Linked DNA regions of Rattus norvegicus. The protein of the gene in region 1 interacts with the protein of each later gene in a pairwise test. Links are inferred from orthologs where the notes say so. Each region holds a gene or a part of one and is shown in the gene's direction. Other genes may lie near its edges. The genes, in order: Pin1, Rai1, Zfp446, Ankrd40, Zmiz2, Homez and Abi2.

Region 1 (4,218 bases):
TAGCTCTGGCTGTCCTGGAACTCACTTTGTACACCAGGCTGGCCTCAAGCTCAGAGATCTGATTGCCTCTGCCTCCTAAGTGTAGGATTAAAGGCGTTTGCCACCAGCACTAGGCATAAAGTAACATTTTAAAATTCTTATATATATGAATTGCCTGCATGTATGTATGAATGTGTACCACATGCAGGTCTGGTGAATTGAAAGGTCTAATGGAAGGGCAGCTAGTGCTTTAACCACTGAGCCATCTCTCTAGCTGTCTTTTTTTTTTTTTTTTTTTTTTGATTCGTTCATTCGTTTGTTGAGACAAGTTTCCTGTGTAGCCTTAGCTGTGCTGAAATTCACTTTGTAGAGCAGGCTGGTCTCGAACTCAGAACTGCCTGCCTTTGCCTCCTGAGTACTAGGATTGAAGGTATACATTAACACACCGTTTTCCTCAGACTACCAGTTGACTAAAACCGGTCGTTGGAGCCGCCCACCCTCTCCTACCCCCTTTCCTCGGTCTAGTGGTAATGCTCTCACCCATCAGTCACCTGCCTAGAAGTCAGGAGGAGCCCATGGAGAAGGAATAAGTCGAAGTAGGTTCTAAAAAAGACATGGAAAGTGGGTGAATAAACCAGTGAAATGGTTCGCCTTGCAAAAACCGAAAAGGACTGGTTTCGCTTTGGACATCTGGAGGAAAAGGTGGGAAGAAGAACTCAAAAGCCAAATTTAGGCTCTGAATAGTTAGCCTTTTGTCACCAAGGCAACTGCATTGCTATGGCAACGGCAAAGTACAGCAAAAGCACCCATGTACCTTAGTTCCAGCTGGCCACTTCCGCGTGGATTCTGGCGGACCTCCGAGAAAGGCTTGAGAAGGCCGGATTGGCTGCCGCAGGAGCCAGTCAAATAAGCACTATTTTATCGGCTAAGCGCACCAAAAAGGGTGGAGCGCCCTTTTGACGCTTAAAGGGAGCCGCTTGCCGGGTTGGAGCATCCAATAGACGTAGCTTCCAGACGAGCCAATCAGTAGCGGTGTTGGGAAGGTGAGGGTAGTGGGTGGAGGGTGTGTGTAGGGGTGGTCCAGGAGGCCGCGGGAGAGCCCAATAAAAGGCTCGAGAGCTCGAGGCGTTGTGCTGCCGTCCAATTGGCGTCTCGATTGGATGAGCCAATCAACAGCGGCGCTGGTCTGGCGCGGGGTCAGAGCCGCGGAGGCGGAGCAGGCGCTGCGGCAGGAGGGAAGATGGCGGACGAGGAGAAGCTGCCGTCCGGGTGGGAGAAGCGTATGAGTCGCAGCTCAGGTACCTCTTAGGGGTCGCCCAGGGCCCGGGGCGAGGCCTGGAGGTTGCGGAAGTTGGGCTTGAGCTCGCCTGCACAGGCGAGTCGCATCACCGTCCTGCTTCGGGCATGGAGATCTGGCCTCCTCCGCGGCATAACGGGCCCGGAAAGCCAGATACTGAGGTAGGAGGTGGGGCAGGCACAGGCGCGCCCCGGTTCTCGCCCACCACTGGGCCCCGGTGCTCTGAGGCGACGAGTCTGCACCTCGGAGTTCCCTTGAGAGGAAGATCGGGATTCGGTGCAGAGGGCGTGGGCCGCCCTGCTCTGGTTTCTCGGGCAGCATCCGAGACACGTGCCCGCTCATCCCCCTATCGGGACCCAGGGACAGTGATGGCTCCTAACCAGGACAGTTCGTCTCTGGGTCAAGCATGGTGCCAAACTCTTTGAAAGACTTCAGTTCTTTTACAAGTCTACGCCGGTGTGTGCTCCCGCTTCCCCTCCCCCTCTCCCTCCTGCCTTCTCTCACTCTCTCCTTCCACCCCTCCCTCTCTCTCCCACCCACCTCTCCACTCTTCCTCTTCCTCCTATCCCCACCTCCACCTCTGTTCCTCCATCTCCCTCTCCCTCCTCCCTCGCTCCCTCTCTTTTCTTGGTTCATGCTCTCCTCCCCCCCACACCCCGGTTGCTACCATCTTTCAAGAAAGGAATTGCTCTCATATTTCAAGAGGGAGAAACTGAGGCCAGACATGGAAAGAACTCATCTGATAATGCAGTTCAGTCACTGGGAATGCCCTAGATTGCAATGATTTTTTTTTTTTTTTGATCTCAAATGTCCCCTTCCCAGTGTCAGTGGCAACGCCTAGAGTAGCCTACAAGCATTTCAGGTAGCCAGGGTCAATGCAACCTACAGAGCTCACTCAAAATTCTTAGTTATTAAGCATCAAGGTTCTGGACACTGCATATGTTAACTCTCTGAACCCAGCTAGGTTTAATGTCATTCACTTTCCACCTTTTTATCAAGAGTGGATGTGGAAAGGCATTAGACAGAGCCTCATAAAGACAGGTTACTCTTGAATTCCTGATCCCCCTGCTTCAGCTCCCCCAAGTGCTGAGATTACAGGCATGCACCACTTTGCCCAATTTATTTATTGAAACAATCTTTACTAATAATATTAGTAATACTGTATTTAATGTATGTGCATGTGAAGGTCAGACAATCTTAACTTGCAAGAGTTTTCTTCCTTCTACCATGAGTAGATTGTGAACTCCGTCAGATTTGGCTGCAAGCACTTACCCATTGAGCCATTTTCCTTTCTAAGATGTGTGTGTTTGTGTGTGTGTGAGAGAGAGAGAGAGAGAGAGAGAGAGAGAGAGAGAGAGAGAGAGAGAGAGAAAGAAAGAAAGAAAGAGTGCGCAAGAGCGAGCATGAGCGCTCAGACGATACTTATCCAAGGATGACCTTGAACCTCTGGTGTTCTGCTGGGATTACATCACACAGAGGTAAAGTCTTGCTGTGTAGCCCAAGCTTGCTTCCAACTCATGATCCTTGTGCTTCAGCCTCTCACGCACTGGGACTAAAGTTATAAGCCTTTATGCTCTGATGTCCTTATTCTCTTGTCCCAGTCTACAGATGAGAAAGCTGAGGTTCAGGGAAGGTGACCTGACAAAGGTTTTAGTTGGATTTATCCCCAGAGGCTTTGGGCTGCTCCATTCCTAGGGTGGGGTTGTGACCTCTAGCATAAACTTGTCTCTAACTGGGTGTGGTGGCACACAGCTGTATTTCCAGCACTTAGGCAGAAGCAGGAGGAGATCTGGTTCATGGTTGTCCTGGGCTACGTACACTTTTTTAAAAAATACATGTATGGGTATTAGGCTTGCATGTGTATTCCATATGCATGCAGTGCCCACCAAGAAGCCTGAAGAGACAGTTGTGAGCCTCCACATGGGTACTGGAAATTGAACTCCAGTCCAATAGAGGAGCAGATGGTGCTGTTAATCTCCGGGCCATCTATCCAGCCCCCATAGTGAAACTCTTTTACACACACACACCCCTATACCTGCCCCTCTGCTTAGTTATGCTTGTCATTTGTTCTCAGTAGGACTATGAAAAGCCCTTCCTTCATGGGTAACATCCAGCTCTTCTCCTATGCTAGATCAGCTGTGTAACCCAGGTAGACTCAGCCCTTGGAGTGACCCAGAATCTACTGGGTCCTTCCTTCAGGCTTCTGCCATACCCCTTCCTCCTCTTTTACCTTTCACTTTTTTGAGTCCGTCTTGCAAACTTACTTTTACTGGCTTCAATCTGCAGACATCCATCCTCTTGCCTCAGCCTCCCTAGTGCTAGGCAAACAGCATGTTCCACTAAGCCAGAGTTTTCCCTTGAGGTTTTGATTTTCCATCTGTCTCCTTTATGCCCTCACAGCCACTCAGATGACATCAGGCCCTGAGTAATGCTACCCCTTGCTCTCTGACTTAGGCTACCAGTGCAGGGGTTAAGACTGGAGCTTTGAGGGCTGGGGATTTAGCTCAGTGGTAGAGCGCTTACCTAGGAAGCACAAGGCCCTGGGTTCGGTCCCCAGCTCCGAAAAAAAAGAACCAAAAAAAAAAAAAAAAAAAAAAAAAGACTGGAGCTTTGGAGTAACTTTCTCTGTTTATGCACAAGACACAACTGCTGCTGCTGTGAGCAGAGGAGGGGGAGGTGCTGCCTGGGTTTTTGTGGAACGAAGCAATGGGTAAAAACAGTTATACTCTACCTTTTGGTGATATGTGATCCTGGGACTTGAACCTAGAACCTCACAATGCCATGCAAGCACTGATCCTCAGCCCATGCTGTCTGTTTGTTTATCTATGTTTGGAATTGGGTCCAGTGTAGCCAAGGCTATCTCAAACTATAGCTGAGGATGCTTTTGAAAATCTGGTCCTATTATTCTGTAAGGTGGCATTATGCCATGTGGAGGTCAGAGG
Region 2 (4,190 bases), on another chromosome or scaffold:
ACTCTCAGTTTGCGTCTATGTAGCATTTCTGTGTTCCCAGGGGTCTGTCTTTAGTGTGGTGGCAGCCCCCACTCCCGCAGGTCCAGCCTCAAAGTCCCAGTCTTCTTTGTTTCATCTTATTCTCTGGGAATCTTCAGGCACTACCTCCCTTGCTGCCCGCCTCGAAGATATATCCTGGGATCAACCAGTGTTGCCCCCTCAAAACCCTGAACTCCTGGGTCTGTAAGTGCTAGGATCTCTGAGGTGCATCTCTGGTGCAATGAAAGGAGGCACGTCATGAAGGTCCCTTCCTACTTGTCTACACCTACACACACACAAACTCCCACACGTCATTCTGTGCCCCAACCCCAGCACTGCTTGTTCGCACCTTAAACAGCTTTTCTGCTCGGTGGGATCCTTCAAGGGCCAGCTTCTGCCTACCAGGTTTCAGACCCTACACTATCACAGGCAGCCTCAGATCCCTGCGTGTGGCCAGTGTACGCACAGGCGCAATGTCCATACTTTCTCAGTCCCTTGGCCCCACACAGCAGCCAGCCCAGTCACAAACAAGCCCATACGAATACACAACGCCCTCGGAACACAGCCCACGCAGGCAGCCCCGCCCACGCAGTCACACTACCACCTATAAACAATCGCACACAAACACCACCCCCACGCAACCACTGCATCACTCAGTCCCGCCGAGACCTACCAGCATGTTCAGAGGCTGGTTTCTAGTTAATCCCCCGCCCCCCATCACCAGCCCGTGACATTCACACGTAGGGCAGAACAGGAATTTATAGCCACACTGATACACGGTCCTGAACGCACAGCCAAGGGCTCACCCGTGGGCTCGTAAGTCACTAGAAAAAATATTAAAGCATTCCCTCCCTTCTAGCTTTGGCACGCGCGCGCGCACGCACAGCACCCCCTTCCCTCCCCGCCCCCACTCGGTCTTTAGGCGCCTAGGAACCTCGCAGCAGTGACCTGGCCACAGCGGTGAGAGCCGCGAGAGCGTCTCCTTGGCGCCCCCTCCTCCCGCTCGCGCCCAGCTTACCACTCCTCCTCCCTGCCCCCTCCCTCTTCTCCCCTCCTCCGCGTCTGGGGCGCGGGCTGCGCGCAGCCAAGCCCCCTTGTCGCGTGCCCCTCCCCGCGCGCGCCCTGCGCCCGCATCGTGCTAGCCCAGTGGACGTGGCCACAAGGCCGTCTCTAATTACCTCCTGTCCCCCCGGCGGCCAGTGAATAATGGCTACTGAGGGCACTCGCAGGCGCTGCTGAGCAGGAAGCGAGGGGCTGGAGAGGCGCGGCGCGCACGGGAGCGCGAAAAGAGAGGAACGAGCCCAGCGCCAGCGCTCGCGGCGCGCAGAGAAAGGAATCGTGTGAGCGCTCACATATTTTTCTCCCAAGGATCTCATCTGGCGGTCGGGTACTGGAAGAAGCGAGGGGAAGAGCGCACCGTTGCAGAGAGACGGCAAGAGAAAAGGGAGACTGCGAGACGCGCCACGCCGGCGCCCCAAGACCCAGGAGGAGCCCGCAGGTATTGTTGGCGGCGAAGCTTTGTGTCTTCGGCGGGCTGCTCCGGGCAAGAGGGCTCCCTGAATCCCGGCCTGCCACCTCGCTCTGACCTGCCGCGAAGTGGGGCTGCTGACGGGGGTCGCCGGGGGCACCCCCTCCCACCGCGCCGCGATCCTTGTTGGAGTTGCGGGTTTGCGTGTTTGGAGGTTTTCCATGTGGGTGGAGGGGATCAGTCTCAAGAGAAGGAATTTCTTTTCTTTCTTTTTTTCTTTCTTTCTTTTTTTAATGGCCGCAGCAGTTAGGTTGTGCTGGGGATTCTCCCCTCCCTTTTGCTCCACAATGCCTTGGTGAGCGGTCACGGCGACCGAGCTACTGGTGGAAGAATTGGGGCTGAGATGTCGCGGCGGGTGGCCGCAGATGGGGATGCTGGAGAAGGAAGGAGTTCACCTCAAGTTCGCAATCTGTATCGGGAAGCTGGTCCGGCCTGGGAGGGCGTTTCGAGCACCGGTCCTACTGTGAGCAACCAGTGAGAAACTTCCCGAGAGTGCCGTCTCCCGGGGGACAGTTCCCTGGCGCCTCTGGGTGCTACTGCTGCCCCTCCTCTCAGCCTTGGAGCGTTTAAGCCCCCTACCCCCACCCCCATTTCCCGGCAGCTTCCGGATCTGGTGGACTGATCGGCTTCAAACACTTCCCTTAGATACCCCTCCCCATTCCCTGTTGCGTTCCCTCTGTCCTGCGCCAGCTAAATCAGCTGAGTGGCCAAGCTGACAATAAAATCTCATGCCTTTGCGGTGAGGGGCAGGGGTCATGACTCAGCCTCTCCTGTGACTGCTGACCCTGAGCCCTAGGCAGGGGAAGGGACTCCCTCTTTCTTCCTTGTTTGGGTTGGAGAGGTTACCACTGGATGGTGTGGAGGGAAGGCGAATAGGGGTGCCCAGCAGGGAGAGTTGGGGTGCACTGGCTGGGCTGTGGATTCTGCCCAACCGGGCTTGACGATTGGCTGGTGCCTTTGGGCACGTAGGAGAACCACTCTAACCTCAGCCTCCTCCCCTCCTGTACAATGCAGGCTAAGAGGTGATCCCGGAGGTGATGTGCTTGTATGACGAAGTGCTTGGCTTCCTGAAATCCACAGCAGACACCACTGCTCTGGTGACCCAGAGATCCGATGCCTGTACTTTTCCTGGGATGAAATGGGGGTGAAGGGCTGCTAAGGGGGGAGGGTGGTAGGAATAGTTCTTTTTCTACACTGGCGCCATGGGAACGGAGGTCTGTCCCAGAGAATTCCTGGGGACTGCAGTCCAGAAAGGGGGAGGGCTTAGCTCCAAGGGGGGGGGGGGATCGTCTGGGTCAGAGCCTTGGCACTGAAAGCTGTCAGATCTTTGGGTTTGTGGAGAGGTGTGGGGCTGGGTGGGCGTTGTGAACCCCAGCTTTGATAGATGACTAGTTGAGCTGCTGGGGGTGGGGGAGTCCAGATACCATAGTAAATAGGCTGTCTGTTGAAGCCAGGGAAGACACCTCTCTCCGTAGAAACACGGTTCTTAGGGGAACAAGGAAGTACCTTTTGGGGTTAGGGAAATGGATTGTTTTTAGAGTGTTCTGGGGCTGTGTCCAGGAACCCGAAGAGTTAACCTTCTCCCTGAAATCTGTCAGTCCCTAAACCACAGAGAAGCATTGTTAGCCCCTCCATGCTAACAGCATGCTACTGCCTGTTAGGAGCTGCAGATCCAGACCGCCTTTCCCTGTTCAAGGCAGCAGCCTCTCTGCCACTAGCTCGACAGGATGCATGCTGGCTCCTCATTTAGGGGGTGCTTGTAGGAAACAAGAGTCAGAGCTTGTGGGTCAAGCAACCGAGCTGTGGCCTTGTGGCTCAAGGGAAAGGTTGGGCCCGGGGCACGGAAACTAGGAGGGATGTCATCCATCATGGGGCTGGGTTTAGGAAGAAGAGCAACCAGACCTTCCTTCCTGACTCTCTGTCTTACCCACACCCACACCTTCACCCCTACAGCCGAAGACCTGGGTCTTTTAGAGTGACTTTCTGACCCCCAGGATAGACTGCGACACTTGGGAGTTGAAACAGCTTGGAGATGAGGACTCTGGGACATAGAGCTTCATTTTGCCAAGCTTGCTGCTGCCTACTGTTCAACCCCAGAGCATAAGCACCTTGGAGAGTTTTGTGTGGTGAAGGAGGGCTGGGGATACAGCACAGAGGGGACTACTGACCCTGCTCTGAACATCACCTCCACTTCCTGTAGGCTGAAGCTATTCTCATAGAACCTCAGAGCCAGGCACAGCAGACAATATTGTCTGGTATTTGGCTAGACAAACATAGGATTAATGATTAATGAGTGAGTCAGTGAGTGAAGGGGTTAGAAGCAGCAGGTCATTTTTTAAAGGTATTCTTGACATATATATAATAACACAGTTTACAAAACACCCAGAAAAACAGAGAAAACAAACAGATTATTGAGTGTCTTAATGGTCTCTGACAATGCTTGCATTTGGTATGGTTCTTCCCACAGGTTGGCTTTGATGGTTGGTGATTTAAAGGCTTTCATGAGTTGTCTGTATTTAGATGTATGTATGTTCTGCTTTTGTTTGTTTGTTTGTTTGTTTGTTTGTTTTGAGGGGGTGCTGATAACACCAGCCTTTTCCTGTTTTGTAACCAGCTCTTTGTAAGCACCAAGGTTAATATCTTC
Region 3 (4,221 bases), on another chromosome or scaffold:
TGCACACACACACACACACACTGTCTTGCCACCAAATTGCCCCTCTTCAGACCTTGCTTGAACCGGCTGCCACCTGGCACAAAGCACCTAAGCTTTCTCTCTCCATCGCCTTTACCTACTCACCTCATCACATCAATTCCTCCTCCCCCTCTACCCCTTTGTGTGTGTGTGTGTGTGTGTGTGTGTGTGTGTGTGTGTGTGTGTGTGTGTGTGTGTTGGGAGGCAGTTTGAGACAAGGTTTCTCTGTGTAACAAGCCCTGGCTGTCCTGAACTAGCTTTGTAGACCAGGAACTTCCGAGTACTGGGACTAAAGGTGTGCTCCACCATGCCCAGCTTCATTACTCTTTTTAATCTTCCTCCCCACCACATCCTGTTTTTGTTCTGTTTTGTTTTGTTTAATCTCTCTACAAAGCCCCAAATGTCCTGGATCTGAGTATGTAGACCAGGCTGACCTCTGCTTCTGAGCACTGGGATCAAAGTGTGCACCCATCATGCCTGGCTCCTTAATCCTCTTTCTAAAAAATAAAATGAAATAAAGGTTTTGCAAATGTAGCTCACTTGGTAGAGTGCCCACCTAGCATGCATGAGGTCCTAGATTTTATCTCCAGCACTGCATAAACTGGTAATCCCAGAACTCAGGAGGTAGAGTCTGGAAAATCAGAACTTTCAAGTTATGCTCAGCTACACAGTGCATTTGAGGCTAACGTGGGCTACACAGACCCACTCTTTCTCACAGGCACTTCAATAAAGGCCAAAGAAAAAGCTCTCACCCCAAGGAAGAATTTTCAGTTTTGTTAGTCAGTGTTGACAGAAGGTAGCTGAAGCTCAGGTAGTATCTGGCCTCTTACTGACCTCCCAGCATATCCTGTTCATAGTGTAGTGACTAGAAGGATGGGACAGCCACTGTGTCTTTCTCCAAGACCTATCCACAACTTCAGTCCTTCAGACTATCTCTGAGATAGACCACTGAGAAGACAGCGATGGTAGGTTGAACAGATGAAAGCTGACACAGTACTCACAAATGCCAGTTCTAGCTTAGTCCTTAGCCTGCTGCAGATGGAGATTCAGTAACCTGCCACCCACGGGGTAGTGGGTAGGAAGTGAGGCTACCTGGGAGAGGCAATGACTGGTTGCATCCTTGCAGGAGTGGGGCCTGATGGACTCATCACAAAAAGAGCTGTGCTGGGGTGTGATGCCGGAGAAATACAACACAGTGGTATCCCAGGGTGAGGATCAATGGCCCTCCCTGTCCTACCTTCCCTGCCCCATCCTCCACACACCTCCCACATGTACTCGGCCCCCAACTGGGGCTCCCAGTGCAGTGGCCTAGCATCCAGCTGCATCTCTCTTCTACCAGAAAGTGCCCACTCCCATACTTTTGTGCAAACCCTTATGTGTCCAAGCCCCCAAATGAATGTTCTTTCCTCCCTAGCAAGCCTGCCGCTGCTACAGCCAGAGACACATGTTGACTCTGAGCTGAGACCAAAACAGGAGACCCCACATGAAGGATCAGAGTCCCTCGGGAGCCATCCCCCAGAAGTGGGAGCCATTGCAGATCCAAGGCTAGTTCAAGCCACTCCAAGTGAAAGACAGAGCCCTTGCAAGGACCCTCCAGGCTTGTCTCCTACACCACTGCTTGAAGCCCCAGCTAGGCCCACACCTCGGAAGCTGTATGTTTGTGAGCAGTGTGGCCTCAGCTTTGATTGGAAGTCAGTTTTCATCATTCATCTCCGCACACACACGAGAGGGCCAGGCCTGGAAAGACCATCACAGGTAGCCTGGGAGCCGGCCATGCGGCGCTCCCCTGGCCTTCGGGCCTATACCTGTGTGGAGTGTGGGCGCAGCTTCAGCTGGAAGTCACAGCTGGTCATCCACCGCAAGAGCCATGCAGGCCAGCGGCGCCACTTCTGCGGGGACTGTGGGTGTAGTTTTGACTGGAAGTTTCAGTTGGTCATTCATAGGAAGATCCACCAGCCAGAGGACCCATGAGTAGCTGGAGAGGCATGTCTCACCCTGGGTGCCTCCAGCCCCTGATGCACCACTTCTGGCATCCTCTTTAGCCAAGAGGAGGTTCTAAGGCACCCCAAGTAAGTCAGGGATTGCAAGAAGATTGCCCTGTCCAATGCCAGGTTATCCAGTGTATGGAGAGGAGGCTGTTCCCTTCCTTTGGTTCCTGCTTTGTGGAGCCAGGCCTGGGTTGGAGTTACTAACCTATGACTGGGGTCCAGCTTGTGCAAGAGGTGGACACTCCCTGCTTCAGGATGCTCCGAAATCACTTAGGTCCCTCCTAAGTGGCTGGGCAAGACATCTCTGTGCAAGATACTGGAAACCACATCTGCCTTTCAATCCTGCTGCATGCGACCCTCAGACTAACATGTTAGATTTCTAATGTAAGTTTTACTTCTATAACAAGAATTTCTAAGTAAACATCCTGACTTTTGGTTCCACTGACCAAAAGAGCAGCCGTGTGTGCTAGTTAGCAGGCCACAGGAACCACAGGGCAGCCGGGCCCTGAAGATCTAATTAGTCACTTCTCTCCTCCAGCTACCCAGTTTCTTGTCCACACACATTGCTCCCCACCTCCCTGGCCTTTGAATTCCTGAACTTGGATGGACTTGGATGAATAGTTGACTTTTCTTTGGGAGTGAGAAGGGACAAGAGTGGCTTCTGAGAAGTTAGACAACACGTAGGTGCCTCAGGCCATGCATGCCTCTGGGTGAAGGCTACACCCCACATAGCCAGTTCACTACTAAACCGGAGGACAAAGGGCCACTCCCTACTGCCCAGGGAACAGTGACCCTCTGGACAGTCACTCAGGATCTTTTCAGTGCACGGTGTCCTATTAACTATGCCTGTAAACTAGGTAGATCAAAACAGATTTACTTACTAATTGTTCCGACATCAAAGCGCTGAAGCAAGTCACACAAATCAAAAACAGACTCACCCTGGAAGCTACCTGAGACCCTTGGCTGATGACCTCTTTTTCCATCTTTAGCAGTCGGTAGTTGTTTACCTTGGTGAATCATTCATATTTGATTTCTGTTTGCAGGGCCTTTTGAGTGGCATGGGGCCCGATATTCCAGGGTAAGGTGATCACCTTAAGCTCAGACGATAAAGTGGGACCTTTCTTTTGTTTGAGACAGGGTCTCCTAATGCAGTAGCTGCTAACCTCTAACTGGTCCTCCTGTCTCAGCTTTCTATATGTTAAAACTATAGGCTTATACCACCAAGCCCAGGTTGATATTTTTAAATTCTATGTATGTTTAAGACAGTCTCACTTTAATGCCCTCAAACTATCTGTAGTCCTCCAACCTCAGCCCCTGAGTGTTGGAATTAAAGTTGTGTCATTGGGCCAGGCTAAGACTTTAAATTCTTTTAATTTTAAAATTTAGAAATACAGAGCAGGATTCAGTGTTGTAGGCAGATCTCTGTTAGTTTGAGGTCAGACTGCTTTATATAGTGTGTTCCAGGATAGCCTGGGGCTATGTAGTGAGATCCTGTCTTAAAAATAAATAAAGAAATAAGCAAATAAATTCTGAAGATGGGCACATCAAAGTGTCATCTAGAAACCTGAGTTTTCAACACTGTCCATTCTTGCTCACTAATCCAGTCTATTGTTTTAGGTGTGTGTGTATATATATGAGTGTGTGTGTATGTATGTATGTATGTATGTATGTATGTATGTATGTATGTATGTACATACATATGTATATGGAAGCCTGAAAAGAGTATCAGGGTCTGCAAGGCCCTGGGTTCAATCCCCAGCTCTGAAAAAAAGAAAAAAGAAAAAAAAAAGTATTAGGGTCTTCACCTCTGCTTGTTAATGTTCATCCTGGAATCCAAACACCAGTGACAGACTCAAACTCTGGTCCTGATGATTTCACATCAAGTGCTTTTAACTGCTGAGCCTGTCTCCAGCTCACAACGTTATTGAAGATTTGCTTCAGTCTGAGTCCCTCTGTGCTGCTCACATGTTCCTCTTCTTTCATGTCCCGTTCTTCCTGCTCACGAGTGCTGTAAGTTTTCATATGTTCCTTAGACTGTTTGCCCATTCATTATAGTTGTCCTAGACAACTGAGAGCAGTGTCAATCCCTACAGCAAGTTCCAGAATCTGCCCTTCACAGGTTTGTGTGTTGGTTTGTTTGTTCTTTTGGAGGGGAGCTGAAATGATCTCTCCACATAGCCCTAGCCTGTCCTCAGCTTCTTTTTATTTAGTGTGC
Region 4 (4,338 bases), on another chromosome or scaffold:
CTTAACTGTTGGCTTATCTCTTCAGCCCAGATAGAATTCTTTTAAGGAAAGAAAATTTAACAAACAAAAAAACCATAAATTTTGGGTACTGCTGTTGACTTTGATGGTTTGTTTGTTTTTTACAGTTTGGAGGATGAAACCCAGGACTTTGTTTGGGTAAATACTCTTCTATTAAGCTATTAACAGCAGCCTACTATGATCTTTGTAAATTGTCCGCCCCCCCCTTTAAAGATTGCTATTTATTGTCCCTCAGATTGTGTTAATAGAGTCTCAATGCCATTCACATCAGCCTCAGATGGAGTACTATGCTGGATCTGAGAATTAAAATTTAAATTGGGGAAACAAACGAAAGTATAAGCTCAAGCAGCGGTCCAATTTGCCACTGGGGTAGATTTAAGTGTTTATAGTCAGTTGCTATTCATCACTCCTGGTGTGCAGTGTGCGCTGTGTGAATTACCGTGTGCTAATAAACAGACGTTGCTTTTTCTTAAACAGTAACAAGACAAATGCATGCTGTGTGCCCTCGGCAGCCCCGAAAAATGCAAATAAAGACTCCATACCTAAATGTATCCCTTGGTGTTTTATCTCCTCTTTGTTCAGGCCCTCCTCTCTGCCTCCCCAGGGCGTTTTCCCTTAATCTTCTCACCCCATCTGCAAAGTTCTCACCAGTGCCACATCAGGGATCTCTCCAAGGCACCTGGGCTCAGCAAAATAATATTTTCTGTTTCTCCCAATGGGTAGTAGAACAGTGCCATCAAAGGCTCTGAACATCATTAACTAGATTAGGCAAGGAGTACTGCACACCGCTGTTTATGAACACCCCATAGCTCTACCCTCAGTGCCCAGGATCAGGACCCGGATGACTAAGCACCCCACCCCCACTCCCGGTCGTCTTTCCTTACATGACTCCGAGAATAATTATAATTTAAAAGCTATAATGAGTTTCATTTTATAAACCAGAAGCAACGTTAATTTTCATGAAAGCCAAGTTGGAAGAATTTCTGTCTAAAAACGATAAGGGGTAAAAATAAAACAATAACTGAAGTAATTCTAGCTGAATGGTCCCAAGCACTGACAAAAATAAGAACAGTGTCATCTAATCTCTGCAAATAATGGGCATATTTTATAGTGGGATCGTTTTCAGCCCATTTCCCGTCCTACTGGGTAAAAATTGACTCAGATAGAAAAAGAGCTAACCAAACTTGGGGGAGTGGGGGTGGAAACCCACCAATTATTTTTAATGCCTACTAAACAGCCTGCTCCAGAGGATACGGCTTTTCTGGCTCTCAAACATGTCGGGTCCCTCCGCCCCCCCAACTATTCCTGTGTCTGTCCTCCTCGCTGGAAGCTGTGGGGTGGGAGGTCTAAAAATAGCCAATGAATCACAGCAGATAATCCAGTGCAGTGGTTACATAAACAGCGGGCCGGGGCGGCGGGGCCGCGGGTGGGAACGAAAAGTATCTGGGTCAATGTTGTCACACTGAATAGGGTCCCCCGGAGCCGGCCTTCGGAGGCGCGGCGGGGGTGGAGGCCTGGGCCTGCGGGCCTCGAGCAGCTGGGGATCTGCCGGTGGGCGGGAGGGAGCACGAGGCCCCGGGCCGGGCGCGGGCGGAGGCGCGAGTGGGGCGGGCGAGCCCGGCGCTCCCTCCCCATGGCCGGGAGCGGGCCGCGGAGGCGGCGGCGGCGCTGACAGGCTCAGGGCGGGGCGGCCGGGGGCCCGGGGCCCTGGGGAAGATGAGCGCCCTCCTAGAGCAGAAGGAGCAGCAGGAGAGGCTGCGGGAGGCAGCGGCCTTGGGGGACATTCGGGAGGTGCAGAAACTGGTGGAGAGCGGGGTGGATGTGAACTCCCAAAATGAGGTCAACGGCTGGTAAGTGGCGAGCGGGGGAGGCCTAGGGTACAGGGCTGCTAGCTCGGGGCGTGGAGCAGTCAGCCGTGACCCAGGACGCAGGCTAAGGTGAAGCCTGGTACCTCAGGCCTCGCAGGTTGTGCCCTTTCCAGACTAGCCCTACCCCCAATTGCCTCGTGCAGTTAGGAGCGCATCCTTCCCAAATACATACCTTCTGTGGTTCACTGCGGCCAGCGCCCTCTGGGACACTGGAGCCCACGCCAGCCCCCGCGCCCCCTGGCTAACTTGGCCCAAATGGTGATGCTAGAGGCTTTGATTCTCAGCGACTCTGCTCTGGATTTCATCAAGCTTGAATTATTTTGCCATGGGCGCTTCTGAAGAACACTTCGTGCAGAGATGAAAGCATAAGCAACCCAGCAAATGCCAATCTTAAAACCAGCACGATTTCTTTAGCCAAGACCAGGAGGAAAGAAACAACTACAAAACCCCCACCACTTGCATAATAATTTTGCCTCTGTTGTTTCAATACCACAGTGATTGGCTGTTGCCTACAGCTGCCTGTTGAGGGGAGACTCATTTGTTTGCCCTGTAGAATGTTTTGTTTTCTTAGTACAATTTCCAATAGAGAAATTCACCCAAGGCTTTAGATGTCTGCCTGCAGATTTGCCTCCTTCCCAATTAAATCCGGGGTCTGTCTCATGTCTTTGGTTCCAAGTTACTGAGTGCGTGTTTTTTAAAACCCTTTTTGACATTTTACATTTTTTTTATTTAATCCAGGTAATGCTTATCTAGCCTCGTTTACTAGTTTAAAGTTAAAGTGAGTTTTAACCCTCCCACCCCACTCCCCTGTAAATCGAGTCATACATTTTGAAATGGAAAGGGCGCAGGAGATCATTTGAACCCCAGAGAGTGTCTTGCCCTGGTTGCACAATTTTCGGTATGGTAACAGAGTCAGAAATGAGGTTTCCTTATTTCCTAAGAAAGCTACCCGGGTCCTTTCCCTAAAGAAACTAGCTCGGTAGCTGTCCACAGCTAGGAGACAGTGGACACTAATTTCTTGTCTATTTTGAAGCGTTTGCAGGCAAAAAACACTTGTAGTAGTGTTTGCCTTCCCTGGCATCCGATAGCTGTGAATTTCTATTCTGGCACTGGGGGGCAGTGCTGTACAGAATACTGAGCCTGGTCCTGCTGCAGGGTCTGCCTGTCCGCCCTGCTGTGAAGTCTTGGTTGAGTCATTTCGTTTCCCAGTTATTTCAGAAGTGTTGTTAGTGTTTATTGAGATGAGGGATAGTAAGTAGCTGCCATGTACTGAACTTGCTCTATGGCACAAATGTGGTTATAAACACTTGGCTTACCTCAGGACTATCTGGGGACATTGTTATCTTTCTCCATCTTAAAGATAAAGAAACTGAGACCCAAGGAAAATTAAACCATCCAGTTTTCCAAGTGCTCCTAAGTTACTAAATTTGGGATTTAGTAATTCCGTGCGAATGTTAGCCCTGACTTGTCTGTTAGAGCTGAAAAGTGAATCCAACATCTGATGCCCTCGGCACAGTGCCCACCAAGTGCTAGATACCCAGTGGATGCCAGGTGATTTTGAAGTAACCCGATGAGGCTTCCTATAGATTTAATTCCAACTGCAATCAATCCAGTCCAAGAGTGAATTCCTAGATTCCCTTTATCCCACTTTATGCTCTTGGCCTAATGCTTTCAGTTCTTCTCAGCTCGCCCTCTTATATGACCGGACCGTAAAGCTTGGCACTGTCCTTGGTCCCTGTCTTCCCTTCACAAACCACATACTGTCAGCCAGTTCTGCTGCCTCTGTGTTCAGATAGGATCTGGCTACCACTCACAAGCACCACACTGTGATACAAAGCCAGCACCATTTGGGATGCAGGATAGTTCCATAGTCTCCCTCTAACATCCTTACTAGTCTACTTGCTTATACTACATACAGCCTTGCCCCGACTGTGGAACAGTTGGCTTATCACACTCAAAGTCCTCTAATGGCTCCCATATTACTCTGAGAAGAAGCCAATTTGCATTCTTTTCCCTGACCTTTGGGCCTCATCTCTTGAGACCTGCTTCCTTGTTCACTTCTTCCCATTCCCCTGGTCTCCTTGCTTTTCTGGAACAACAGCACACCCTGGGTTCTAGACTTTTGTACTTTGCCTTCCCTCTTGTCTAGAAAGCTTTTCTCCTATACACCCCATGGTTTGCTCTCTGTCCCCATTTGGATCTTAGCTTAGATATTAGCTTTATGCTAAGGCTTTTCCTTGGCTGTCAGTTAAAAATTGTGCAACTCTCTTCCCAACCCTGCCAGTCCCTAATCTCTTACTCTGCTTTATTGTCACACAACTTAATATCCACCTAGCACACTATATAATTTGCTTGCTAATTACCCCAGCTACATTGACTGTAAAATGAGTGAATATTGACAATAGTAGATTTTTCTTTGCCTGACCCCACCCCCTTTTTCTTCTTAGACTTG
Region 5 (4,351 bases), on another chromosome or scaffold:
TAATTGTATGTTTGGGGTCCCCGTGACATGAGGAACAGTATTGATGCTCCCAGCATTAGTAAGGTTGATTTATTGATAGAGTGTCTGTTGGAGAAAATAAAATCATCCTGCAGATGGAGAGTAGTGGCATGACAAAGCATGTGTTTGAGAGTATCTACCTGGACACTTGAGCATGATCAAAATGTACAGTGTAGTTTGCAAGAACAATAGCAATAATAATTGTGGGTAATCAGGAGAATGCGCTCTTTTGAAACTTAAGGTAGAAAAAGTGGGTGCCTTGCAGGTGGTGTCTAATCTGTCACCTGGGGGTCTGCATGCATACAAGTGGAAGATGATTCCTACAGATTTTGTCCAACCAAAAAAAAAAATCATGAATTTACTTAACACATGAGATTTTTTTTTTCTTTTCTTTTTTTCGGAGCTGGGGACCGAACCCAGGGCCTTGTGCTTGCTAGGCAAGCGCTCTACCACTGAGCTAAATCCCCAACCCCCACATGAGGTATTTTTAAGTCTATTGCCTGGTTCTCTAGTACGAACTTCATAGGTGACAATCCTCATGTTGCAATGTCAAAGGGCTGGATGAGCCTGCCAGGTTTACAGGATGCCAAAAGTATCTATAGATCCATTTCGTTTGGCTAGAAAATAGTTTTTTAATTATTTATGTACATAATTACTTTGCTAGCTTGTTACATCTTTGCACACTATCTGCCTGGTGCCCATGGAAGTCTGAAGGGAAGTCTGAATTCTGGGAAATTCCACCTGTTGGCTCCGGGAAGTGAAACCTGGGTCTCTGCAAAACCGGTCAACCCTCCCCCCCCTCCCCTTTTCTTTCCTTTTTTGACTTTTCAAGACAGGGTCTCTGTCCTGGACTTGCTTTGTAGATCAGGCTGGCCTCAAACTCAGAGAACTGCCACCTCTGCCTCCGAGTGCTAGAACTAAAAGTGTGCACCATCACACCATGTCTGACTCCTGTCAAGGCTTTTAACCACGGAGCCATCTCTCCAGCCCATAGATCACAGTGATTTCAACACAGAGGTGAAGGAGGCAGCACTCCAGGAAGGGACTATTTGACTGTGTAGAAGGCTACGTGGGCAGGTGTATGCTGTTTCCACTTTCAATGATGGGCTTCTTAGTCCCTGTCTCCAAAGACGCGCCGTCCGCCATGAAAGACTCGAAGGTTCCAGAGGGTTCTAGTCAGTGTTCAGTCACGAACCGCCTAGTCTACCAGGCTGTGTGGTCAGGCCCAGGCCCAGGCCCAAGCCCTGCCTGCCCTGTCGTGGCTCCGCCCCGCCATAGCCCCGCCCCCGTTCGGCCCCTCCCCGGTGGACAGCAGCAGGAAGCGCGCGGGGCTCCTCCGACGCCGCGGTCGCAAAGGTGCGGAGGGGACGCAGGGTGCAGGCCGGGCGCACTGAACTTCCTGCACGGCAGCCAGTCGCCGCCCGGGCCCAGCCCCGGCCCATCCTGGCCATGCAGGCCCGCACTCGCCCCTGCCCGAGCCTCCGGAGCACCGCTCGGGGCTCCGCTGCTCTGGCCTGGGGGGCGGGGCCGGCGGCGCGGCGTCATGCATATGCATGAGCAGCGCGGCGGCGGCTCCATTGTGCCCTCCGAGCGGCGGCGGCGCGATGGCGCGGGCGGCGGCGGCCCGGGGGCGGCGGGCGGCGCCGAGGGCGGGCTGAGCGCATGGAGCGGCGCGGGCCGGGGGCCGCGGCGACGGGCCGGGCCGGGCCGGGCGGAGGTGAGCGGCTAGGAGGCGCGGGGCACCGCAGGCGAGCGCGGGCGGCGGGGCGCGCAGGTGCGGCAGGTGCGGTGGCAGGTGCGGCCGGTCCCGGAGCCCCGGACGGTTTTGGCTTGGCCTGGCTCTACCGCCCACCTTCGGGTACCTGTCCCCTGTGCCGTGCTATCCGGCTTTCTCACCCCGCCGCTGAGCCTTTGTTGGGGTTGGCCCAGGGGTGCAAGTGGCCTTCGGGGGCCTCCTGAGCCGAGGAGGCTGATGGGCCCTCACCCAAGCCTGTCGTTCCAGCTCTGGAGCGGGGCATGCTCACCTTCCGGAGCACCCCTCGGGTTCCCACTTATGTGCTCACCATCTGGGTGATTCGAGGGCGGGGGTTGTGGGGTGGGAGCCGTTACTGGCCCTAGAAGGAGCCGCTCTGCCCCTAGGCTGAGGACGCTGACCTGTCAGTCCCTGGCCGGGTTTTTGACAGGAACACCGTTTTCCAAACTGAAGCTCAGGCACGAAAGTGCCCCACTCTCCCTAAATTTTTTGTTTTCCTTGGTACCCTTAACACCACTCCTAGGTGCCCAGTCCCCCCCCCTTCCCGCCCCCCAAAGTATCCCGTTCCTTCAAGGTATCATTTTCCCAGCACCCAGTGCCTTTCTTACTCCGTCACCTTTCCTCCTTGCTTCCCCTATCCTGCCCTCATCCTTCTAGTGTTCCTTCTCTTAGTAGTTAGAGACAGTCTTTGGGTGATGTCTTTAACTCATTTGTGCAGAAAATTTGATAGGGATGCAAATAGCACATGTGACCTGATCTATGTGAGTAGGATGAACACCACCAAGTCCTGGCAAAGCCAGTACCAAGGGCATCCCTTGGCACTTGAGAATGGTAACTAGGGAGGGAAGCTTAACCTTACTCACCAGAACTGACCTCAAGGCCCTTGATGTGCTCCCAGGGTGTGGAAGCAGGCTGAGGTATAATGGGAATAAGCAGGTAAGAGACAGGCCCAGCATGTTTAGGGAGCATCCTGATTACTAGGGTTGATCTCTGAGGGCTGATGCTGAGGACTTAAAAGTGCCACATAGCCTAGAGTGGCCTCCAGATTCCCATTTCAAACGTTGGAGATTGAAGTCAGGTTTGGTTGGGCTATTGGCAGATGCTCATTCCTGGAGTCCTTCATGAACAGTTGTTTGTCTGTACACTGAGGCTAGGAAGGGGGTAGTACTGTTGCCTCACAGGCAGGCAGGACCTCTAGCCTTCTGGGCACCTGACTACCCTTCCTTTGATACTAGGGACTCTGTTTCTGTCTGCCATACTTCAAACCTGTCAAATACTCATCCTCCCCCTACCATCATGTGATTTTACTGTGTTGCCTTGAACTTGTAGGTTTAAATGATCTTCCTGCCCCCTAGCTCCTGCGAAGCTAAGACTACATACAGGTTTAGGCTACCTCACCCGTTCCTGGAACTGTCATTTCTCTGGAGCCTTTTAGTCCCAGTTTGTTTGTTTGTTTGTTTCTTTTTTTTTTCTTTTTTGGAGACAAGGTTTCTCTGTGTAGCCCTGGCTATCCTGGAACTCACCTTGTAGACCAGGCTGTCTTGAACTCACAGAGATCCACCTGCTTCTACCTCTGGAGTACAGAGATTAAAGGTGTATGCCACCACTGCCCAACTGATCCCACTTTCTTAAGTTGAAGCCTAACCCTGGAACTTTGGCGGAATGAACCCTGTTTTGTGAGCTGTTGAGCAGGGCTGGCCTAGCGTAGGAGTGTTGGCTGAGAGTGGTACCCATTACTGGGTCTGTTCTTAGCTGCTCAGACAGGTAGAAATGGATGGAGCCAGGAGATTTGGGGTGAATTTGCTCTGGGACACCTGGAAAGCAAGTTTTCTGGAGCTCTGTGCCTGAGGGAAGACATGACTTGACCCCCAGAAAGCAGCCTCGTACTCCAGGATGGACTTGAGGTCAGAGCAGATCTGTTAGGGAACCTGGTTTCTAGCTGCAGTTGGCACACTGAGAACCAGGCCTCCTCCCCAGCTCTGCCTTGGAAGTGGGAGGTAGGTCTGTACTCCGTAGAATGCCTCCCCGTAATCAGGAGCAGGAGGCCCACCGGATATCAGATCTGGGGGCTTGGGGCCTTCCCAGCAGACCTACATGTTGAGGTGTGAACTTAGGAGTTCAGTTTAGCAGGAAGTCCTCCCAGCAAAGAGAGGCATGCTGAGGGGGAACTGGAAATGTCTGTGGTCTCTGTCCACAGCAGAGAAGCATTGTGGGTGGAATTCCCCAGGCCCATGTGATGTAGAAGGCCCCTGTGGGTGCCTCCCCCCCCCCCCACACCTGCCCTGTTCTCTTCTCCCTAACTCTGCATTTCCTAGATCAGAGGCTCTCAAACTGTGGTCAGGTGTGTTAAACATGCAAGGCTTAGGACCCGGCCTGTCCTGATGACCCTGGGTGGGGCCAGCAGCCTGTCTCACCAGCTGACTGGAACGCTTTGACATTGAGTGTTGCCGCCTTAGGTGACTTGAAATGAAGCAAGAGCTTACTGGCTGCCTCTCAGCCAGCCTGGTTCCCTCCCTGCTTGGGACAGCAGAATGATCCTGGCCAACCAAAAAGCCCACTGGTTTTTCTCGCTGGGAAGGG
Region 6 (4,203 bases), on another chromosome or scaffold:
ATCGATCACTAATTAAGAAAATGCCTTATAGGCTTGTACTTTTGGAAGCATTTTCTTTCCTCTTTTCCTCCCTCTTTCTTTCCTTCACTCTATTTATTTCCTTCTTTCTATTTGTTTTGTTTTTTGAGAAGGGGTTTCTCTGTGTAATCCTGGCTATCCTGGAACTCACTCTGTAGACCAGGCTAGCTTCCAACTTAGAGATCCACCTGCCTCTGCCTCCCAAGTGCCAGGATCAAAGGTGTACACCTGACATGGAGGCATTTTCTTAATTGAGGTTACGTCCTCTCAGATGACTTTAGCCAGTGTCAAGGTGATGTCTTTATGACGCTATGTAACATAGTACCTTTACCCGCTGAGCTGTCCTCCCAACCCTAATGGAGTCTTGGATCATGTAAACGTTGGGTGAGAAAGAGGTACAGAGGGTTTGGCAACCCTGACCCAAGACACTCCAATCAGATCCTTTTACCATTTTGGACAGTGGGAAAGTCTGGAGGGCCAAGCTCTAGCTGCCTGGCACCCAGCACGAGCTGTGTGGTTAAAGGGACCAGCTTGGGAGAAGCTAATTTCCTCTTAGGTCGGGATGCTTCATCTACTAATGGAATCAGCCACAGGGTAATGAGAACAGCAGACCTGATAGGGAAGCCCTAGTTTGTAGTGTAATTCTAAGTAAAACCATTGTCTAGGGTAAACATTAGCATGGAATGGTTTTCATTGTATCTCTGATAAATAATAGAATGAATAGTTCTTTTCTAGAAGGACGTAGACCTGGAAGGAATTATTGTGGAAAATGGCGGTTGTTTCCTGTGATTGATAGAGTTGTATTACTGAAGGAGCTTCATGGCATTTCCATGACTTTGGTCACAGCTCCAGGCACACCTGGAGTGCTGTGCTTTATTGGGTACTGGAGACAGCGTACAATAAACATGAAGTCACAGAGGTGTGATGTCTCCTTCCCTAAACATAGGTCAGGTCAGGGGCTTTGTTATGAGGAACCAGTTTCACCCAAACACTAACTTCTCTGTAACAATCAGTAAATACGCCTTTGTACAGTTGTTCAAGATTCAGTCTGCAGTGGCTGGCTCTCCCTGGGGCCAGCAAGGCCTTACCACATCCTTGAGTGGCCTGCTTTCTTCCATCATGAGACTCAGAACACCGACACTGGTTGGAGCACAGTCACTGGCCTCCTCATTACGTCATAATAGTCGAGCTGTGATGTCATTGCACAGCACCCACTCAGTACGTTTTGAAAGCGAAGTACATATGTGAAGGAAGAGTCAGCATGAGGACTAGACACCCAGAGAGAGGTAGGTGGAGGCTGGGCAGGGCTTCCGTGGCCCTAGCCTCTTTCCCAACTTGGACATCTTAGTTTGATGGTGGGTTGATCTGAACTCTTTCTTTTTTTTTTTTTTTTTTTTTTGGTTCTTTTTTTTCGGAGCTGGGGATCGAACCCAGGGCCTTGCGCTTCCTAGGCAAGCGCTCTACCACTGAGCTAAATCCCCAACCCCTGAACTCTTTCTTTCACAGAGAGCTTTAATGTAGCTTTTCCTGTTTCAAATCCATCCCAGATTCCCAACACCTGCACTGGTGACCATTCAGCCTTAGAGCTCCCCTGACCTCTGGCATTTCTTAGGAGAGGAGACACCAAACACTGGACGAAACCGAACATGGTCATTTGGTTACACAGTCGAGTAAAACTTCTGTATCCTAAAGTATACAACTTTTAAGAAGAAAATACAAATTTTATTTTTTAAGATTTATTTATTTGTTTACTTATTTACTTATTATCTGTAAGTACACTGTAGCTGTCTTCAGACACACCAGAAGAGGGCGTCAGATCTCATTACAGATGGTTGTGAGCCACCATGTGGTTGCTGGGATTTGAACTCAAGAACTTTGGTAGAGCAGTCAGTGCTCCTAACCACTGAGCCATCTCTGCAGCCCGAAAATACAAATTTTAAATACAAGATTGGGCATAAAGTGAACGTTTAAGGACTGGGGAAATGCAAATCAGTTACAGTTTTTAAAAAGCTGATGAAAGGGGGTCAGTGGTAGAGCGCTTGCCTAGGAAGCGCAAGGCCTTGGGTTCGGTCCCCAACTCCGGAAAAAAAAGAACCAAAAAAAAAAAAAAAAGAGAGAGCTGAGGTGGAGAGCTATCAAGGAAGATTTGGCATCAATCTAAAACACTCGTGAACCCCCACATACATGCACGCTACCAAAAAAAAAAAAAAGCTGATGAAAAATTACCTACCTGGCAAACAATTTTTTTTCCATGTGTTTGGATACCAAAAAAAATCAGATTGAACTTTTTTGTTTTTGTTGTTTGTTTGATGGGAGGTCTTACTATATAGCCCCAGCTGTCCTGGAACTCACTATGTAGACCAGGCTGTCTTCAAACTCACAGAGATCCACTTACCTCTGCCTCCTGAGCGATGGGATTAAGGGTATGCACCACCATACCTGGCTTATTTGTGTGTGTTCAAGACCCACACATAGAGACAGAGGGCAACTTTTTGGGATGGCGTCCCTCTTCCAGGGTGTGGTTCCCCTAGAATGAAACCTAGGTCAGCAGGCCAGGCAGCAGGCGCCTGCACCCATCGCGCTGTACCCACCCTGCTGCACTGACAGCCTTTTCATAGAACAGGTAACTAATACTTACTGCAAAGAATAAGGTTCTGAACCATGGTGGCACACGTCTCTAATCCAGCACGGGGGAGGCAGAGGTAGTTGGATCTTTCAGTTAGAGGCCAGCCTGCTCTTCAGTGAGTTCCAGCACAGCTAAGGTAACAGAAAAACCCTGTATGGAAAAACAAACAAGAAAGGATTTCAGTTTTCTAGCATACTGTTAATTTTCAGGTTATGGTAATTTTAAAAGAATTACACATTGTGACTTGTGGAGTATCCACCAGAGAAGACTGCCCGGACACGGGTTTTAGCCAATAGGAAGTCTATGAGTCAGCTGGTGACAATACTGGGTACTCAGGGTCCCAATAGAGCTCTGATCCTTTCTCAGAGTGAGCTTTTAAGCACAAAAACCATGTCTTCAGTTAACAACAGAAGTGGAACTAACAAGCTAACAAGCAAGGTTAGTATATCTTGAGACTTTCCCAGAACTCTCATCAGCTTCGATGGATTGGGCCTTTGTTTTTGTTTAGCAGGAGGCTATCTCCGTGCTGAGTCTTACAGCCTAAATGGTATTTCCATCATGGAGTCAGTTGTGGCAAGGTCTGGGGCCTGTTACAGTGATTATGTTATAAAAAAATTTCAGGGGGTTGGGGATTTAGCTCAGTGGTAGAGCACTTGCCTAGCAATCGCAAGGCCCTGGGTTCAGTCCCCAGCTCTGGAAAAAAAAAAAAAAATTTCAGACCAAGCATAATAGCTCACACTGGTAATTCTAGCCCTCAGGAGGCCAATGGAGAAGAATTGCCTGGAGGCAAGGTTAGCCTAGCAGGTGAATGAACCTTGGCTACTATTGAGAATGTGTCTTAAAAGACAGACAGCATTTTTTCCAAACTCGGAAAAATGGACCATTTCTTTCATATTTGGTGTAAGGTATTAGACTAGGGATGGCAGAACAAAATGGCGGAAAGGAAGCATCTTGTACCTTTTTTTTTTTTTAAAGATTTATTTATTTATTATATATAAGTACACTGTAGCTGTCTTCAGACATACCAGAAAAGGGCATCCAATCTCATTACAGGTGGTTGTGAGCCACCATGTGGTTACTGGGATTTGAACTCAGGACCTCTGGAAGAGCAGTCAGTGCTCTTAACCGCTGAGCCATCTCTCCAGCCCCACCTTTTTTTTTTAAACATTTATTTATTATGTATACATCATACAGCGTTCTGCCTGCATGTATGCAACTACAGGCCAGAATCAGGGCACCAGACATGATTACTGATGGTTGTGAGCCACCATGTGGTTGCTGGGAATTGAACTCAGGACCTCTGGAAGAGCAGACAGTGCTCTTAACCGCTGAGCCATCTCTCCAGCCAAGCGCTCTACCACTGAGCTAAATCCCCAACCCCTATTTTTTTTTCTTTTCATGTAATTAGTTTTTGTCCGGGTTCTGTTTTCAGTGCTGGGGCTCCCACCTCTATTACTGAGCGAAGACCAGAAGCCCAAGATGAAGATAATAATTCCATTCTGAGCTTTTTCCTTATCGTAGTCTCCTCCACCCCCACGCTCGCTGCCCCTGGACTTGGC
Region 7 (4,450 bases), on another chromosome or scaffold:
CTTATATACATTACATAAATAAATCTTTAAAAAATTCTTTAAAAGTTTTTTTTTTATTTATGTGTGTGTTTCTATGTGAGAATATGCCACATGAGTCCACCAGTGGATGCCAGAGCAGGGTGTTGGATCTCCTGGAGCTAGGGTTAAGGGCTATTGTGAACAGTATGACAGGGATGTTAGGAACCAAACTCTGGTCCTCTGGAAGAGCAGTTCATGCTCTTAACTACTGAGCCATTTCTCCAGCCCAACACAGGTTTTTGATCTACTGAAGTTTGTCTAAGAGTCTGATCTGAAGTTTGGAGTTTGTTTTCTTCAGCTGTTTGTACTTTCATTTCCTGAACTAAGTGTATGTGCCCTATACATAACTATCTCCCTATATACTCTTTAGGTTTCTCTTCTTTCCCCTCCAGCTCTCCCTTTTGTTTTTCACAAGCTTCTCACACTTAGAACATTCACGCTAAGACAGGTGTCTAAAGTGGTCAACAATAGATCCAGCTGGACCATATCATCATTTAAAAATACTGTTTTAGGCTCTGCTACAAAAGCTCACACACACTGGTAATGTATTTATCATAAAGCTAATGTAACAACACAGGGTTTACTCCACAATTGTGGGGCAATCATATTTATGAAAAAAGATTAGATATACAGATTACAAGATCAGAATGAACTACCTTGAATTTTTGTAGTACTTAATCTGAAAAACGCACATTTGTCAATGTGTGTTTTTTAATTTTATTCATGCGACAACCATGTGAATAAAGAAATTAGTACCAGCAAAGCTACCATCGAAATTTTGAAAAAAGTCAAGTGAGAAGGAGGCCCAGGCTGGGCAACTACAACTTGTAGCTGTAATTCTAGCCAGCTCAGTCTACACTGGAGATCATGCCAAGAAGTGGGGACAGGGGGAGGAAGGGAATGAATGAATGAATGAATTGGTTTGGGATTAGGTAACAGTAATTTGTAAAGAAGACGATGAGGTCCAAGGTGGCATTTAGAGCTGCTTGGAAGTTCAGTGGCTCTGCCTGTTCTGATGAGGTGTTATATTTCACAGAGCTTGTGAAGGGGCTGTGTCCTCTCCCTAGGCCTCCACAGGGGCCTGGAAAGCTTCCTTAGGCAGATGACCTCCACAGGGTTCCCGCCCCGGGTGCAGCGCAGAGGTGAAGATGGGGGGCGGCGGCGGGAAGCAGCAGTGGGCAGCGGGAAGCAGCAGGGAGCGGCGGCCCATTCCCGCCCGGCTAACAAAGGCTACTGAGGACTCCCAGAGCCTGGAAGGCCGCGCGGGGCCGAAGGGTTAACCGGGAGCCCCGCTCCCGCGCGCATCCCGGCCCCCGCCCTCCCGTCGCTAGGAGACGCCGGAAGTGGGGGAGGGGCGGCGCGGGTGGGAATCTTTTTCGGGCGCTCGGGGGCGGAGGGAGGGGAGCGCGCGTGCGCGCGCCCGTCCGTTCGCCCGTCGCCGCGGTGACCGTCCTCGCGGCCTGTCGGCTCGCGCCCCGCCTCCGTTCCCGCCGCCCCCTCCCCTGTCGCGCGCCGTGGGGGGTGCAGCTCGCTCCTCCCGATTCCCGCCGCGTTCGCCGCTGCTCCTCCTCTCCCGGGCGTCGCGGCCGCTGCCTCTGCGGGCTGTATGAGGAGGAGTAGGAGGAGGAGGAGGAGGAAGAGGAGGATGTGAAGATGGCGGAGCTGCAGATGCTGCTGGAAGAGGAAATCCCGGGGGGCCGCCGGGCTCTCTTCGACAGCTACACGAATCTGGAGCGGGTGGCCGACTACTGCGAGAACAACTACATCCAGGTGCGACGCGGCCCCTCGCGCGGCGCGGCGCGATAGGACGTGGGGTGTGAGGGGCGCGCGGGGTGACGGCGGGCTGAGGAGGCCGCGCGGTACTAGGTCCCGGGAGCGGCGCCGGGGTGGAGACGGGGCGAGGGCGGCGGCGGCTGGAGGAAACGGGGTCCGCAGAAGGCCCCAGCAGCCCCGTGCGAGTCCCCAGTGCGGTGCGGTGCCGTGCGGTGCGGTGCGTGGCGTCCCGCCCCCTCGCCTCTGCCCCGTCGCCCCCGCTGTCCTCTCCTGTCAGTGTTCCGGATGGCGGGGGAGGTGGAGAGTGGCATTTTCTGTATAACGGAATCTTGCTGGATGGCAGGCTTGTGTGGATCACACAAATTCCGAGGGATCTTTTTTGAAGGGGTCCTATTCCTGCAAACTGAAATGCCTCACTTCTCCATTCCTGCGAATGTACCCTGAAGACAAAACAAAAATTCTTAACCCTTAAGTTTAAACTTAGGTTGTAAAGGGGACATGGTGGAAAGGCTGTCTCTTATTGCAAGTTAATACCATTTTTTTTTTCTTCCCTGTGGGAAACTGATAATGAGCTGCTTTTCCTTCCCAGTTCCCGTTAGAATAGGTGATTTTCCTTTGGGAAAAAGAACTATGACTATTTCCATAAAGAATCAGGGAAACGAACCACATGGTTTAGGTTTTTTTCCCCATGATGGTTGGTTTGGCACAGGGACTCCTCTGTGTGTGTGTGTGTGTGTGTGTGTGTGTGTGTGTGTGTGTGTGTGTGTAGGAAGGTGAGGAGGGGGGCGGGGCATTGGTGAGATGAGAACCAGCTGGTCATGGGATAAATGTAAAAATTTTGTGGATTAAAACAACACTTTAAAAATTAACTCATGGTTTGCAAATCTAGTATCTCGTTTTCTGTAGGGCTTATACTGAATTACAGGTTGTGCCTACATTTTTTTTCCCCACTCCCATTTAAATTCTTTGGATAAAGTGGAATGTAAGCATGGTGTTAAACGATTACCCATATTTTAATGTTCTTGTTCCTACCTCCGTCTCTGCAGGTCTTCTTAACAACAGTTGTATTGGAAAACATTCTCAAATCTTACTATGAATAAAAAAAAAAAAGAACCAGATGCTGGAATTTATAGGTTCTTAAGATTTTTGAGGACCATGTTGTTAAAGAAAATGTGCTTAGATTTTATTTGGTTATAAATGTACTGAGTTCTATTATGTTGTAAGCATTTGGAGGTTTTTTTTGCATTTTTATTAGATATTTTATGTATTTATATTTCAAATGTGGCCCCCTTTCCAGTGTTGTAAACATTTGTATTGAGAGTGAATCAGACATAATTGAATCTTCTCCCCTTAAAGAAGTGGTGGAAAGTGTGTGTTCAGTAGAAAGGGTGTGTGTCTTTGGTCAAAGATAGACCACAGTCCCTCACAAATGTCTGTCAGATCATTTACTAATACAGAGCTATGTAGGAAGTATTCAAAAGTTTTATCGCTTGATTTCCAGTCTTCTTTGGCCCAGAACTGTCGGTGGTGGTACACCCCTAAACTCTTAAGGGGTTTATGATATAGTTCAAGAGACAGATCTGTGAGTGAATCCATAGTAATACGATGATGTGCTATCAGCCCTTCTTGTTGGAGAAAGAAATAGTCTTTCTTTTTCTTGTCATTCCCAAAGTGTAACAACTACTTAACATGGCATTTACATTTTATTAGATAGTGTAAGTAATGTATAGATTTGAACTATGGGGAGGATGTGTAATAGATTGAATGTAAATATTATGCCATTATATGTAAAGGACTTCACCATCCAAAGATGGGGTTGGAGTGGGGATTGGGGTGGAGCAGAAGTGTGTCCTAGAACTAATCCCTATTGTATACTGAGGAACAAGAATAGTTAATTTATACTTGGTAGGGAATTGTGCGCAGAAAGGTGATGCTTATTATTTTCAGGGAGTCACAGCTGCTAGGAGAGGCAAAACCTAAACGACCCAAAGGGCTTATTCTGATGCCTTGCATAGCATATTATGAGAAAGTCTTGTCTGTCAGAAGAGAAATTGGGGAATGGAAAAGTGATTAGATTGCAATTGTGGCCAACTAATAAGAAAAAGGTTTTTGAAAGATGAATGTTACCATAATTTGAGATTATAATGCCACATAAAGGGAAAGTACATGAATGGATAAAGTGGAGAGGTGGAAGAGATCACTTTTGTCTTAGCATTTATAATTCTAGCCTAAAGAGTAACAAAGCTCGTGTGTTATTTATACGTTTTCAATTTTGGTGTTGGGGGCTGTTTTGTGCATGCTGAGAATACAGGCTACCACTGAATTATGTTCCTAACCCACTGTAAAATTACAAATACTTATTTTTTAGAAATGGATTTTGAATTTTAAGCCATCTGTTATTTTAAATTCAGTATGTGAGGTAGAGTTTACATATTATTATTTCTTAGGTCGTCCTCCGTTGTGGGAGTCACTGGATTTATTACTGCAGTACTTTCTCAGGATGATATTTCTTACATGATTTGTTTGTAGTACATTGATAAATAAAACTGGTGATAGTTGATTTGTGCAGTGCCAGCTGTACATTTGGCTGGTTCTTGTGATGGAAGGACTGACCAGCAAGGGTCCTGATGCTGTCTGTGACCCTGTAATACATGAAAGT

The links.
Region 2: the proteins of Pin1 (region 1) and Rai1 interact in binary tests that used the Homo sapiens proteins (3 or more experiments, as listed by UniProt). The two-hybrid records come from large-scale screens. The link is inferred for Rattus norvegicus from reciprocal best matches to the Homo sapiens genes PIN1 and RAI1.
Region 3: the proteins of Pin1 (region 1) and Zfp446 interact in binary tests that used the Homo sapiens proteins (3 or more experiments, as listed by UniProt). The two-hybrid records come from large-scale screens. The link is inferred for Rattus norvegicus from reciprocal best matches to the Homo sapiens genes PIN1 and ZNF446.
Region 4: the proteins of Pin1 (region 1) and Ankrd40 interact in binary tests that used the Homo sapiens proteins (3 or more experiments, as listed by UniProt). The two-hybrid records come from large-scale screens. The link is inferred for Rattus norvegicus from reciprocal best matches to the Homo sapiens genes PIN1 and ANKRD40.
Region 5: the proteins of Pin1 (region 1) and Zmiz2 interact in binary tests that used the Homo sapiens proteins (3 or more experiments, as listed by UniProt). The two-hybrid records come from large-scale screens. The link is inferred for Rattus norvegicus from reciprocal best matches to the Homo sapiens genes PIN1 and ZMIZ2.
Region 6: the proteins of Pin1 (region 1) and Homez interact in binary tests that used the Homo sapiens proteins (3 or more experiments, as listed by UniProt). The two-hybrid records come from large-scale screens. The link is inferred for Rattus norvegicus from reciprocal best matches to the Homo sapiens genes PIN1 and HOMEZ.
Region 7: the proteins of Pin1 (region 1) and Abi2 interact in binary tests that used the Homo sapiens proteins (3 or more experiments, as listed by UniProt). The link is inferred for Rattus norvegicus from reciprocal best matches to the Homo sapiens genes PIN1 and ABI2.

What each region holds. Positions count from the first base shown.
Region 1 is NC_086026.1:27,464,429-27,468,646, forward strand, and holds the start of Pin1 (peptidyl-prolyl cis-trans isomerase NIMA-interacting 1), read left to right. Parts: upstream 1-1,213; 5' UTR 1,214-1,219; coding exon 1,220-1,277; intron 1,278-4,218. UniProt on the Homo sapiens protein: Peptidyl-prolyl cis/trans isomerase (PPIase) that binds to and isomerizes specific phosphorylated Ser/Thr-Pro (pSer/Thr-Pro) motifs.
Region 2 is NC_086028.1:45,446,201-45,450,390, forward strand, and holds the start of Rai1 (retinoic acid-induced protein 1), read left to right. Parts: upstream 1-1,226; 5' UTR 1,227-1,516; intron 1,517-4,190. UniProt on the Homo sapiens protein: Transcriptional regulator of the circadian clock components: CLOCK, BMAL1, BMAL2, PER1/3, CRY1/2, NR1D1/2 and RORA/C. Positively regulates the transcriptional activity of CLOCK a core component of the circadian clock.
Region 3 is NC_086019.1:82,676,841-82,681,061, forward strand, and holds the end of Zfp446 (zinc finger protein 446), read left to right. Parts: intron 1-1,144; coding exon 1,145-1,226; intron 1,227-1,432; coding exon 1,433-1,989; 3' UTR 1,990-3,574; downstream 3,575-4,221. UniProt on the Homo sapiens protein: May be involved in transcriptional regulation.
Region 4 is NC_086028.1:79,777,435-79,781,772, forward strand, and holds the start of Ankrd40 (ankyrin repeat domain-containing protein 40), read left to right. Parts: upstream 1-1,531; 5' UTR 1,532-1,734; coding exon 1,735-1,868; intron 1,869-2,058; exon of another isoform or gene 2,059-2,643; intron 2,644-4,338.
Region 5 is NC_086032.1:85,464,039-85,468,389, forward strand, and holds the start of Zmiz2 (zinc finger MIZ domain-containing protein 2), read left to right. Parts: upstream 1-1,334; 5' UTR 1,335-1,735; intron 1,736-1,768; exon of another isoform or gene 1,769-1,876; intron 1,877-1,902; exon of another isoform or gene 1,903-4,351. UniProt on the Homo sapiens protein: Increases ligand-dependent transcriptional activity of AR and other nuclear hormone receptors.
Region 6 is NC_086033.1:32,306,526-32,310,728, reverse strand, and holds the start of Homez (homeobox and leucine zipper protein Homez), read left to right. Parts: upstream 1-1,254; 5' UTR 1,255-1,279; coding exon 1,280-1,304; intron 1,305-4,203. UniProt on the Homo sapiens protein: May function as a transcriptional regulator.
Region 7 is NC_086027.1:69,319,710-69,324,159, forward strand, and holds the start of Abi2 (abl interactor 2), read left to right. Parts: upstream 1-1,495; 5' UTR 1,496-1,671; coding exon 1,672-1,788; intron 1,789-4,450. UniProt on the Homo sapiens protein: Regulator of actin cytoskeleton dynamics underlying cell motility and adhesion. Functions as a component of the WAVE complex, which activates actin nucleating machinery Arp2/3 to drive lamellipodia formation.